2 linked regions of the Daphnia pulex genome follow. The protein of the gene in region 2 purifies or fractionates together with the protein of the main gene of each other region. This does not show direct contact. Links are inferred from orthologs where the notes say so. Each region holds a gene or a part of one and is shown on either strand. Other genes may lie near its edges. The genes, in order: myosin-2 essential light chain-like and unconventional myosin-Va-like.

The links.
Region 1: the proteins of unconventional myosin-Va-like (region 2) and myosin-2 essential light chain-like purify together in Drosophila melanogaster (affinity purification with mass spectrometry; 3 studies listed by BioGRID, with this or other methods). This does not show direct contact. The link is inferred for Daphnia pulex from reciprocal best matches to the Drosophila melanogaster genes didum and Mlc-c.

What each region holds. Positions count from the first base shown.
Region 1 is NC_060023.1:11,863,157-11,870,618, forward strand, and holds myosin-2 essential light chain-like, read left to right. Parts: upstream 1-3,086; 5' UTR 3,087-3,217; coding exon 3,218-3,220; intron 3,221-3,309; coding exon 3,310-3,337; intron 3,338-3,471; coding exon 3,472-3,612; intron 3,613-3,673; coding exon 3,674-3,838; intron 3,839-3,910; coding exon 3,911-4,017; 3' UTR 4,018-4,273; downstream 4,274-7,462. Other genes in the region: COA8 family protein Y39B6A.34, mitochondrial-like, read left to right, coding at 1,010-1,111, 1,169-1,366, 1,431-1,664; oligosaccharyltransferase complex subunit ostc-B-like, read right to left, coding at 1,912-1,930, 1,994-2,211, 2,282-2,355, 2,428-2,566.
Region 2 is NC_060024.1:9,027,794-9,034,678, reverse strand, and holds the end of unconventional myosin-Va-like, read right to left. Parts: coding exon 4,944-6,885; intron 4,876-4,943; coding exon 4,634-4,875; intron 4,561-4,633; coding exon 4,453-4,560; intron 4,393-4,452; coding exon 4,271-4,392; intron 4,213-4,270; coding exon 4,071-4,212; intron 3,996-4,070; coding exon 3,480-3,995; 3' UTR 2,930-3,479; downstream 1-2,929.

The sequences.
Region 1 (7,462 bases), on a different chromosome or scaffold from region 2:
GAGATGAAGAAGTCATCTGGTGCGCTGCAGTTGTTGCCGTGTCGTAGACGTTCACTCGACTGATCACTGTGGCCTTTTCTCTCTCCTTTTATACGACTTTTTCTCACCCTTACCTCTCAACTCAAGGCTTGCGGCAATTGTAGACCTACTTGATAATGTTGCAACACGTGTCGTTCTCACCCAACCTCTACACCACTGCAAGAAAGTTTTACCAATTCTATGTAATGATCTCCGTGACCTTCGGTTGAATGACATACAAACTGGCCTTTCCTCCCGCAGGTTGACGTAGCTGGGGATGGGTTTACAAAAAACATTATCAAAATGAATACCAAATGGTTATGTAAAACTTGCCTTTCTTACCCAACCTCTACACCACAACATTGACAGTTTTACGTAATGATCTCAGTGACCTTCGAAAGTGAAGGACATGCAAACTGGCCTCTTCCTTCTGCTTCTGTAGGTTGACGTTGCCGGGGATGGGTCTACAAAAAACAATATCAAATTAATACCAAATGACTTAAAACTCACTTTATCCAAATTTACATTTAAGTAAATTGACTCGTTTCTTCGGTGAATGAATAAATCTTCCATTTCGAACCACTTTTTTTTCTTCCATATTGTTTGAAGGACACTCGACTTTTTTGAAGATGTTCCACTGCTAACTTATCTAAAAAGTTTCAAACACATGATCAATCCATATTCATTTCATAATGTGCACACGGTTGACCCTTGTTAGAAACCTCTTTTCTTAGTCAATAAGTTCTCAACAAAAACAACAGTAACAAACCAATAATCTACATTCACAACTTAAAAGAATATAAGGAAGAATTACCATTTTTTTTACAAAAATGTCAGGAAAAAAGTACACCGTAGAGGCGTAGAGAAATTTACTTGCATTTACGATCAGCGTCTCCAAATTAAATGGCGAATAATACAATTCTTATTTGTTCATCGCACACCATCTATGGGAATGTAGCAAGAAATTTTAAATTGAGAAAGTGGTCACTAGATGGACATGAAATGTTTACATTTTACAAGGATGGCGACTCTAGCTACAGCCACACGCGTCTCGACAACTCGTTTTTTGTTTTATCGTTGTTTTTCTACAGAGGTAAAGCACTATTTTTTGAAATTTCCCACTTTGTGTTATAAGCCTTATAATTTATAGGTTCCAGAGGCTGTTTCTAAAGCCATTGCCACAACAGATGTCTACGGCCCTCCAGACCCAAAGTCAAGTCTTCGCCTAATCACCTTCTATATCGCCCCTGATGAAACTGAAGCTGAGAAAGAGTACAGACTTAGACGGGCTCAGGTACAGGAATGGAACCACTTATTTTGGACTATCCATAATGTTCAATTTACCCAGGTGATTAATTGTCTAATTACTATAAATTTGAATTTACTTTTGATAACGCTGCATCCATGAGCAGGCCAAAGAAGAATTTGTGACATCAGTGTTAGAGAGAAGAGGTAAAGATGCCACCACAACAGGGCAACCCCTAACTGCTGATGATTTATCTGAATTCTACAGGGCATTCCTAGATCAAAATAGGGAAAAGCACTTGAAGTATAATGTAGAATGGCACATGAAAAACATGGGTCTTCTATGGCCTGGAATTAAGGCAAATTTAAGTAGATTTAAAAAGGGTTTTTCTACTATGTAAAGTTATGTAACATAGGTCCCAGTACAGACTTATTTAATACATTGTGTTAAGATTGTAATTGTCATTATTAGTTGTCACTTCTTTTCAGCTTCATTTAGAAGCTCAGTATTGCCAACAAGCAGAAAAGTAGGGAAGTGGCAATTAGAAAAACAGAGACTTGCAGCAAAGTACAGAGAGAAGGGCCAGAAAGCATACAAAATTATACTTGAACTCTTATGTATTTCATCCCCATTGTTGGTCATCACATCTATGACTGCAGATAACCACTAAAATAAAATAATAAAAACATTTAAATTGGTGTCATGGAGTTGAAGAAACGAATAACTTACGGCAGTTTCATTCTCATGAAAATCCATGTGGTCAGGAATGAAATAACAATGCAGATAAATCCAAGAAAGATGAGAAGCAGTCTGTTGAACTTAGGCATGGTAGTAGATTGGGTTTGGTCAAGTATTACATAGCCTAATCCACCAAGGGTAAACATGAAACTGGATGCAAGACCTTCTAAAATGTATTGGCCATTGACTCTGTATGGCATGAAGGCAACCTATTCAAATTAATAAACCATCAAGCATTTAGAAACACATAGTGGGAGTCTTTGATATGGTAAAACTCACTGGACGAGAATGTCCTCGCTCATCAGTTGTTGACCCAATTGAAGGTGGCTCCACAATAACATCATAGATTATACCTGATTAGATCAAAATAATATTAAACAATCATGATTTTATATTTGTCAATAACAGCAATATTCTATACACACCTCCTGTAACCATGAAATATGACAACAGAACGATAGAGAACACGGTCATTGCTGAGGGCTGGTGAAACCATGTCGGTTTTTTTATTTTCAAATTGGGTACTTCCAACACGGAAAAAGGAATGCTGTATAAAACTTCCATTGTGCCTTTATAGAATAATATTTTTCTCAATTAAGCATCCGTCCAAAATAAACCGGCTCAAACGTCAACTGACTGCACGCCACGTAGTGACAGCTGAGAGGTAGCTACGCTTTGCAGAGATGCCGATAACACAGAATATGATCATTAAAAAAAAACAACTCAATAATGAAAAAATATAGATTTGATCAATAACAAAATACTATTATCGCTCGACAAAGCCAATTTTAAAAATAAAACTGAAAGAAAATGATGGCTTCATTGTTAACATTTTGGAGAGAAGAGAAGAGAGATAGGATTGGTCGAACAAAAATGTTTTCAAGCGGCGAACCACCAAAGCTTGGAACTACGTTTAATGAAAATTGTGGTAACAAAATAAATCAATATTTTGGAGGCAAAATCAACTAAAACAATTCTCAATTTTTTAAATATTCGCGTATTTATGGACCTTGAATTATCTTATTTCAACCATTTCAATAACAGACTCCTATTGTTATCTCGCCAAAAGGTGGCGCGTATTTTTAGCGTTGCTAGTCTACATTTTATATCTATGGTACGGACCATTTGACGTCAGTTTCCAAAAAAATTTCAACACAGACTGCTTGTGCATTCGTTTGGGTGTGTTTCTGTTCTGTAGTTCACGTTTCGAAAAAAATGGTAATTGATTTTCTAATGACAGTTAAACGGTTACAATTGGTTGAAATAAATAATCTAACTATTTCTTATTCTTCTGCTTCTATTTAAAGGCCGGATACAGTGAAGATCAACTTGCTGGTAAGAAAACTTTTAAAGATGCAATTTTCATACCTTATATGGTAATGAAAGTTGGTGCAGACCTTTGACATAATCGGCCTAGATTTCCCTTGCCGTTCCCTTTCTGATGCATTAATTGAATATTTCTCTTGTAGACTTTCAGGAAGCATTTCAACTTTTTGATCAAAAAGGAGATGGTTGTGTTCAGGTGTCTCAGATTGGTGACATTTTGCGTGCCTTGGGACAGAACCCCACAGAATCTGATGTGAAGAAGTTGACCCACAATCACCGACCAGGTAATTACATTGAAAGAGATCTTCCGGTTCAATCAGTTCATGTTCTTTTGTAATTCTTTAGAGGCTCGTGTCAACTTTGAGGTGTTTTTGCCAATCCTCCAAGCCATTTCCAAAAACCGTTCAGCCGATACAGCTGAAGATTTCATTGAAGGACTGAGGCATTTTGACAAAGATGGCAATGGTTACATTTCATCTGCAGAACTCAGACATCTCCTCACAACCTTGGGTAACGCCTAATGACTTGCATTCAACATTGGGTGTGTCATTTATAATAAACAAACAATTATTTTGAATTTAGGTGAGAAGTTGGCTGATGAAGAAGTTGGAGAACTATTGAATGGCCATGAAGACTCCCAGGGCAACGTGAATTATGAAGAATTTGTTCGTGCCGTCATGAGCGGTTAGATCGGGGGATTATACGACTTATTTTATACTTTCATATTACCCCAGTTCTCGATTTAATAAATTCATTAAATTCCTCGTAAAAAAAAACAAAAAAACATCTCTAATTAGTACTTATGTTCTGATCCAATAACAAAGCCCTAAAACATCTTTCCTACCCCCACATCTATATTCTTATCTCTCTGGTGTGTATTGCAGTGCCTTTTTCATCATAATATTACCGCACATTCCACAATACACTTTGGCGCTTCCTCAACTACCTATCGGATCTATTACATTTGGCAACATCATGTGGAGCAAACATCCTGTGTACACGCAATTCATTAGTAACGAGATATTCATCGCAAAGTTCACTGGCCGTTTCTTTTTTAAAAGATAAAACAAAAAGGGACGCTGCCCCACTTGACGAATTTTCTTAGTTGGTAACATCAGCCGCCAGATGGCAGTCATTTAATCGTGAAAAAAGAAAAACGGCCGATTGTTGGTAGTATTATTAATGTCTAGGAATATTCATTTCATCATGCGATCAATTGAGTGCGATGACGCAACTCGGGGCGGAAGGAAGGAAGCGAAACGGTAGCGGGTACGACTTCAGTCGGACGTGCCAAGTCGAAATTAGACGTTTCCTACGGGTGGAAGAGTTCCAAGAGGCCAGCGAAAGGAAAAAGAATGATGGGACATTTCAAACACTCGAGGGTCAAATATAGAAAACAACCTCAAGTGGCGAAATAGAAATAGCCGCGCGCACAAACTTTTTTGGCTTCTAGACTTTGTGTGTTCTTTTAATAACGAAAAAAAGAAGACACTCTTATGGCAACAACAACAAAACAAAAGAGATAGAGAGGATTGATGGCAGATCAACAATGCTTGACGATGACTCGCAACAAATTATAAACACGAGGCGCAAACAAAAACAACCATCCAGTCTATTCGGCATTCGCTTCCGCACGTGTTTTTGGGTGGTGCCCGGATCGGTGCGCATTCCCCACGTTGGCGTTTCGAGGTCGCCACTAATAATCGACATGCCACGCGCATTCATTCCTTGGACGTCGTAACAGCTGCCAACTCGAGTATCCAATTAGCTGTTGAATTAGTTCACTTGCGCTCGGCAATCAATCAAATATTCGCAAATCGACTTTTCGTTTGACTTAAAAATCAACTTTTCAACAGCAGAGCCGCGAAATGTTTTGAGAATCGATTTCTTACAATCGATCGACATCTACAAGTTTTCATTTTATTTTTATTATTTCGTTCCAGATGATCCCGACGGCGCCATTTCGGATTAGAATTGGAAAGGAGCCGAGAGTCTTTTTTTTATCACCGACACAATTAAGTAGGGGCCTAGCTACTTAGCGACGGGATTACTCGTCGATGTGCACGACGTAACACATGTTCAAATGCGCAGTAGATTGCAATCCGTTTCAACTGTTGTTGAATGACTTTTGTTTGTGTGTATCGGGAACGGACAAACAAAAAGGAGAGACCCCCCCTAATTCATTATCAAGGTTAGAACACAAGATATCAGCTGCTGGAAGAGATTATTAGTGTAGCTATAAAATCGTCTCGTTTCTAATCTTTGCGGCCGGGAGATTTGGTAACGATGACGTTCGATTTCGTTCTGATATGAAAGTTCACGTTGTACCCGCTATTCTTACACGTCAAGTCATAAAGGTCCACAAGTTTCTGAATCAATTCTTAATACAATTGTTGACTCATTCCAGACTGTACGCGCTCAACATTTTCGCTTAAAAAACGTTCAGGTACGAATTTAATTTCCATTGAAAAATATTTCAATCGAAAATTTCAAATTTCTTAATCTAATTTTAGAACTAAAAGAGAAAATTGAAAAATGAAACTGACCGTTTGTTGCGTCCTCGTCGCTTTCATGTCGGTCATGTTGGTCTCGGTGCAAGCCAATTCCATCGCAGTCCGAAGCATCGGTAAATTTCATTAAACGATTCAAATTTCCATCGCTTAAAATGAAATTTTTTTTTATTCTTAGAGGGCCGTGCGGAAGTGGTTACGGTGGCGACGACAACGACAACTCGTGACTGGGGCCAAGTCTGCGCTGATTTGTGCAAGACGGGCGACGGAGGAGTATTGTGTAATTGCGAATTAGTTCCGGTCCGACGTCGCTGAATCAAAGAGAAAAATCACATGTTATCTTGAAACGAATTACACCAAATTTTGTATCCAGCCAATAAACTCCCTTGTTTATAAAACATCTATTGCTTGGTTTTAGTTTGAATTGATCTTTCCCGATCGATTAAATATCTCGCAGTATCCTTCCCGCCCTCCTCTTATACGTGGAGAAATTATTAACAGACGCAATACATCAATTACAGCAACAGCAATAACATCTTGACGTTCGTAGTCGTCTCGAGAAAGATGAAGAAAAATTATTCGAATTAAACAGTCGAGAATATTCTACGAAACAACAACTGAACGAAGGGGGAAAATAACAAAAGAATTTGAACGACAGGTTCCAAATGGAAGAGAAATATCATCAACAATTTGAACAAGCAGGGACCCATGTACCATAACGTGAATATTAATTAGTTTAGTGCCTGGAATTTGGACCCTGAAATCTCTCGCCATATGTAACGCGGGAGGGGTGACGCTGGTGATCTCTGCTGCGCAATTCCATAAGTCTTAAATGCAAGTAGCGAAGGTTTTAGATACGATATCGTGATATTGTAAACGGTTGAGTTGCTGCTGTTCCTGAGCGATGACGCCCAGCTGTTTCACGCATGTTAGCTCCTTCTCTCTCACGGGTATAGATAGACCCTCCCTCCCATCGGCCCAGTCATAAAAATTGTACAGCATCCACAATACAACACCCCCGCACATGTGCGACGTTTCCAACATGCCGGAATAAAAATCTATGCCCGAGATTTATCAATATTCAATCGATCGACATTTAATCACGGAGAAATCTAAACTATACTAACCCGTCTGTTATTATTGGATCCCACGTGGGAGGAATGAAACGACCGTCGGTGATGAATCAAAGTTGTCTGAAATACAAAATTGGGTTTATTGGGGTTGCCAATAAATTTCTTCGATCCAGGATTCATTTTCGACTCAGTTTCTTGTTTGTTTGTTACGAGGTTGGAAAAGAGGATTGGTCGATTGCAGACGTCGTCATCATCTCACGGCCTTTCTTGGGTGGGGGTAGAGGAGGATCTCGATGGCGTGACTGGTTGGAATCCACTCACAAACTCCTCCCATTTCAAACATCTTGAGGGAAGGATTTTGCGGCACAAGCGCAGAGGCAGCCGACGGCATCCAGCAGCATCTGTCAGCATCTAGCACGGAGGAGGAGGAGGATGGACCCTACACAGATGGTATAAAAGGCAGGGTTAGCAAATGGCACATATCCATCGGTCGAGTCAAGTTCAAGTTGAATAGAAGCGCCAAATCTATAAATCACGACTGGGTAGCAGCT
Region 2 (6,885 bases):
GTATAGTATACTGTGTATATATTAAAGCTGCGTATACACAGAGGCCTGCAAAGAGGAAATCAAATATGGATATAGAGGGGGAAGGGATAAAGTTACTGAGGTCAGTCCGTGGCCGGTGGGCGGATTATAATCGTTTTTACCTGCATTTTTCAGAACATCGTTTGTCCTTGTTGATTAGCGCTGTGAACGGAAGTGCCTATAGCGGGCTCGTGACGTTCATATTGAATGAGGAAAAGGTGAACACTGCGGACACTGGGTTAATCGAATGTTCAATAATAGGCAGGATATTTAAAAGCTTTGGGTTGGGCGGGAACGTTCGATGACCTAATTAAGTGACACATGATGATACATCAATGTTGACACTATACCGCGCATTCCCCCGCACCGGATAAAAAATATTTTAAGTTTCAAATTAATTTTCGTTGATCCTGATTAAATCCTCAAGATTTTAAAACGAAAGTTTTAACGCTGTGTAGTAACGAATTATGATTAAGATACCGGAGCAGTTTGGTCCCAGACCAGTGGCCCATATGTAATGCTCAAGTTCAGACTTGGAGGGAAGTTTTCTTGCCTCATCATACCTTTCGTACACTGTATACTTTTTTCAAACTGCGCGAATCCTTATTCCGCTGTGATTAACCAGCGGAAGGAATATGCATGAACGACATCTTCAGATTTCTGTTCCTCTAGATATATATAGTTTGACGCTGTTGGTCTACACTATTTATATACATACATGCTGCTCACCTTTTTGTTCCGATATTGTCTGGTGCCATTCAATCTTTTCGCGATGAGAAGAGCTCACATGCAGAAACGACATTGTGACGTATAGATGGAAATAGCTTCCGAAATCTGATGGCGATAGCATTTTATTTCAGAAACGACGCGACAAGAGTGTACAGCAGCAGCAGCAGCAGTTGTAGTAAAAGAAATTCAATTTAGTTTGGCTGAAATGGAAGCCAATTAGCCATAAGTGCTCGCTATATGGCTCCACCAATCTGGGCGAGTCGATGACTATTGTCAATGGGATGGATGGAAAATCCAATTAAACTTGAAGCCTCTAGGCGTGTCAAAAATATTCCACCTTCTCGCACTTTCGCGCTGAGATCTATACTTTGGAATCTAAAAGCAGAAGAGTTAGGGCATCTTTACTCTGTGTACTACCACGAAAAAGAAAAATAGTCTGTGCGCCAGTCACTGTGACCTATTGAGATCGATGTCGAGTGCAACATGTGTGCTTATTCCCTTTTTTCGATGCGGAGAAACTTGATTGAACGTAACACGTCATTGAACGATATAGTGGAAAGATAGTTGATGAGGAGCATTATTTGACACATCCGGCAAACTTAAATGGCACTCAATGCGCAATAAAAATAAAAACTTAAATCCTTTTGGGTCCTGGACTGCTGTCTAAGGATTCTTTGTTAATTCAAATCTATTTTTTCCTTGATTTTTTCATTGCAAAATTTATTGAAATCATACGATTGGACGGAGGTAACTGACAAAAGTATTACGTAAGCGTGAAGGGAGTTGTGCGTTTTCTTTTTGCATAAAAGAAAAAGTTTCTTCGCTTTGCTTTCGGCTGACTGGATGATCCAGATAGGCTATTCGGTCAAATCACCAGGGATTTGGGGATTTTTTATTTTTTCTATCCTGAAAGCCTGAGACTGTCAACGAAAGCGCAAATCCATGTCAATTGGTCTCTGGCTCTCATTCGACGAAATCATTTAGACTCTTATTCTGATATTAGCTTTATACGCGGACTATAAGATCTTGTTAGCGTACCCTCCTGTTCCATCAATGGGAGAAAATCATCTTCTTTGATTCAATTCAATTTAGTTTTGCAAAGCAGAATGCGTCAGCTATTTAACAAATAGATGATGGCTGAAAGTGGATGACACACACATCTCGCAATTCATAATGTACCTCTTACGTCATTAACAACATGAATAAATAAGATAAGCTAATGTAACAGCGGAACCTCCTATTGTATGGAAAGCCGTTGGTGACACATTTCACGGAAAATGTGCAGGCGTGTACAGGTGACGCAAGTTGCAATGCTACTTCCAATTGCACTTCCAATTGCAAACAGATATGCAAGGGTAGTATGCAAATTATACTTATGATAATGACAATCAACTCGGTGATGCGCACATTACAATGGATATGTATATTCCCTGTTTTTAAAATTGAACCAGTGGTAGGCCTACCTCGACGACTTCGCCATCTAGGGTGGGCGCACATATTTTCCTCGAATCCCTACCCTTCTAGATGGCGAAGTCGTTGAGCTACTACTGGTTCAAAAAACCGGGCATTACAAATTACAATTTTCAACTATGATGAGACCTGTTTGTCTATGGAATTCTCATTACACCTGCGTTACTTCCAAAAATCCCCTAGACCAACAGTCTCTTGGTCCATGAATTAATCTCCATCCTCTTCGTGAAATATAAGAATAATCAAAGCCACAAAAAGCCTCTGTAATTCGTGATTTTTTTAAGTATCTTGCGCATAAATTGTTTTATTTTCATTTTACTCGATTTAATGCAGATAACATGATCCAACTCTCAAGCAGCGGAAATTGATCCACCAACAAGAAATTCGAGAATAGAATACGAGAATGGCAAATTAGATTACAGAGAGAAGTTGATGACTAACAGTAATTAGTTATGGCGTCACGGAAAAATTCAAGGTCTTTTGCGCGCAGGAATGAAGATTGAAGAGAATGAAAAAGGAATTATTTTCCCTTATATCTTTACTAGTGCCATTAGGGAGATTGAAAACATGAAGCAAGAGCTAGCTCACACCTTTAATTGCTACAAATCATTAGCAGGCAAATTTCTCATGTAGCCTTCGTCTTATTAAGAAAATGTTACGTGATGTAACGTAAAAATTTGAGTGAAAACAAAAATAAATTAAATAATATAAATTATCGCAATCACAAATCTGTATTCGATTAAATAAATCAACACAACAATGAAACGGCTGAATGATTTTGAAAACGGGGATTCCCGCAAACTGCCTAACAGAACGGAAATAGTGCATGAACTACGGAAACGGAACAGCATCTTTGGACTTTTTTAATAATGAACATAAGAAATGAAAAAAAAAATAAAAAAAAAACAAACGAACAATAGATCGACCTTGGGCCATAGCTGCAGGCATATCCTACAAGCATAGAAAATTACGTTTGTAAGTATAAATATATTGGTCTCTGTTTTCGCAGAGATCGTGAGTCCAAAGCAGGTCACTAACAGAAATCTTTGGCAGATCATTGTTCTTCTCTTAAGCAACATTGCAGTTTGTTCTTGTACTTAGTATCAATGATAACGCATTTCTTCTTATTTGAAATAGAACAAATGGCCGCAGTTAGCTTCGAGACGTTTGCAGCCAAACACATTTCGTTCCTCAATACTTAACACACACCAACGGAATGCTTCGATAAGAATATAACGCACATCTGCATGGGATAAATGATCTTAAACCTTCTTCAGCATTGGTAGATTTAAAACGGCAGGAATGTCTATGTCTTCTAGTTTGATAGAAGATGGGCTGTATGGAAAGCGCACCGTAAATGCGTGTTTGGTATCCATTAGCAATTTGCTCTGTGATTGGTGGTCGGTTCGTTTTTGCAGCTCTTCCTGCACTTTGCGGATAAAAGAAATCGGAATTCGATCTTCCAATTCATCGGCTGGCGTGTACAGATTCAGAATTTTGATGATCTGAGCGCTGGTTAACCGGGAACACATCGTGCAAATGTTACTGACGTCGTCGTCGGATTTTCTGGCTTGTAACAACTGTGCGGCTTGGATAATAGGCTGCAGGGTATCTACGATAGTAGCACTCATACTGTCCTGTCCATGAATGTGCTGGTCACGCACCCATTGTTCCAGATGGGAAATATTGTACCGAATCTGAATGCCTTTCGACCAGTGACACATTTCTTTACGCAGTAGGAGGTTGTTCAATGCACAGGCACAAATGTAATAGAACACCTGAAAATAAAGATAAAATTTAAGTATTGAATTAAGAATGGTATGTAACCTACATAAATGCACGAAGGCAAATACCTGGCGGAAAGCTTGGGCGATAAGCGTCGGATCTACGCCATATAACTGCAACACTTGGTGGAAAATGGTTAACTCGCGCAACAAATGTGCGATCGCTTCTTGTGGATCAACAGGACTTGTGGTATCCCTCGTTGACCCCGATCTGTAATTGCCAGATAGTAAATATTGGAAACTTTTGGCTGATAAAAATCATCAATTACCTCGCTCGGCCGCTCTGTCCTACTGGTTGCTTATGACTAGAAAGTCCAGAGATGGCTTCATGTTCCAACACTGCAGTGACAATAAGCTGCTGAACACGCTCTTCCATAAATTTGATTACCGCCTAAGAGTAATTGCAATTATTTCATCAGTTCAATTAGTTTCACGATTAAGAAAAAATCACCTGATAAATCCAAACAGCGATATCACTAAGAACTTGTCGGTATTCTGACAAATCAAAATTCCTCAAACATTGTTCATTTTGTTTCGGAGTATTTTCCTCTTGGAAGGTCTGTGAAAATCAATTACATGACATTAGATGATTTAAATAATTAGATGGGCAACGCTTGCAAATTGAAACATACCTTTTCTCCACTGTACTGCTTTAGACTGTGTAAAAGTCTGCACGTGTTGACTAACCAGACAACTGAAGTGTCCAGATCCTCATATCGTTTCTTAATGAGTCGACGAATAGCGTTAATAATCAGAGTTAAGAAAGATCTGATTTTATCGTCGCTGTTGATGTAATCTGCGTGTCGGACACACATAAAAATGATGTATGCCGGAAGACCGGGTAACAGAGTTGACGCAACGCGTGGTTTCAATTCTAGAAATTCAAACCAAAAAAATCATTATGAAGTTACTTTATTTCGTCACAACACCAAAAGGACTCACCGTAGACGAGATTCCTGGCGATCTGCTTTTCGTCGCCCATGTTAAAATCAAACATTCCAAGGTAATTCGTTTCCTTTTTACGAACAACCGGCAGCGATGATTCGCTTCTTTCGTTCCTGCGACTCGAATGCACTGTTTCACGCACTTCAGGGCTGGCTTCCTGATTTTCGGCAGGTACACCCTCTTGCTTCACCCTTTTCGCCAATTTCATCTGCGATCTGTACTTTTTGAGTTGCTCGGATAGCAAATCATTCTTTTCCTGGAGATCCAAATTGTCAGCCGTGAGTCGAGAAATTTCATGCTGCATGACAGCATCGGTTTGTCCTTGTGGCGTCCGATGTAAGGCCCCAGCAAGAAGCTTTGCCTGCTGTTCATTATCCAATCGCAGACGTTCGACTTCTTCTCTTTCAATTTGAATCTTCCGCTGAGACGAGGCTTTCTCTTCCTGTAATTCATTTTCTAGGTGCCGTATGATACGCTTTTGAGATTCAAAAGCCATCAAAATCTCGTTGTCTTCAGCAAACGGCTCTCCTCCGTTTAGACGCGATGCGTTCAGTGTAGTTTGCTCACCAATGTCGCCTCCAAGAGTCGTGTTAGCCAACACGGTTCGCAGCTGAATACATTCCTCTCGTCGTCGATCGAGCTCGTCGGACATGGCATCGAATTGGCTCATCAGCATATCCAGACTGCGGGGCAATTGAACCTCATTCTCTGTTGCAGCTTGACGACGAAGATTCTTCAGGTCATCTTTGATCTTGGCGTTTTCCATTTCGAGCTCTTGCAAGCGTATCATGTCCTGAGCTCTCCTGACATCGGCAGTCGGACTTTCGCGCTCCAACTCTTCAACCCTAGTCGCCAATGATGCCTTGTCTTTTTCAACAGTCTTCAACCGCTGTTGTAGCTTGAGGACCAGACCAACATCTTCGCTGTCCGACCGATTAGGAACATGACGAACAGATCCATAACCACCATCATCTTCAGGATTTGCGATCAATTCACTGGTATTGCTGAGCGTACTCACGTTCGAAGCGTTGCGAGAATGACCACGAATAGTTTCACTCTTGCTGCTTTTCCCTGGTTCCTCATGAAGGCGTTCAAGTTCTCTTTCAGCTTCTTCAAACCGCTCCTCCAGCTCGTGGTAGTCCTGAAGCAACTTCTGGTAGGCTGCTCTTTCTTGATCGTACTCCTGAGCCAGCATAGCTCGTTCTTGGTCCAGTCTTCGTAGGATGGATTCTTCGGCTTCCTGACTGCGGGTTTGGTTGATTTCAGTCGACTCAACGAGCTCTTTTTGAATATTTTCGATTTGAGCGTTTAACTCTTCATTTTGCTTTTCAACCCTCTCGCGATCTTGTACGAGATCCATCTTTTCATCTCTCTCACGATCCAGTTGGGTCTGCAATTGTTTTACCATGAGTTCGAGTTCACCTATCCGCCCAACAGAAACTTTTAACTCATTGGCTAATCCGCGGTTTGCTTCACACTGGGTCTTCAATTCGGCATAATCATTTTGCTTTTGTCGAAGAGGTATCAGCTCTTTGTTCATCTCTTCAATTCTTTGTTGCATGGATATAATCTTATTTTCCAAGCCTTTATTAAGATTTTTGACGTGCTCGATAGATCGGGCCTCCAAACGAAGAGCTTTGTATTGACGACGGGCCAACCAACGACGCCAGCAGCACTGCAACAGGACGATGCTCTTACGTGCACGAAGATAACGTCGTCTGGCTAAGAAACCGCGAACCATCTTTTGAATCATAACTGCCTTGGCATTGCACACCAATTGCAGGTATCTCTTGCGAGCCAGGAATCCACGGCCATACGTCTGCAGACGGAGTACGTTCTCACGGAGTCGGGTATAAGAACGTCGCTTAAGAAATCCTCGGACGTGTTTCTGAATAACGATGGCTGATCTTGTTTCTCTCAAGCGCTGAGCTTTACAACG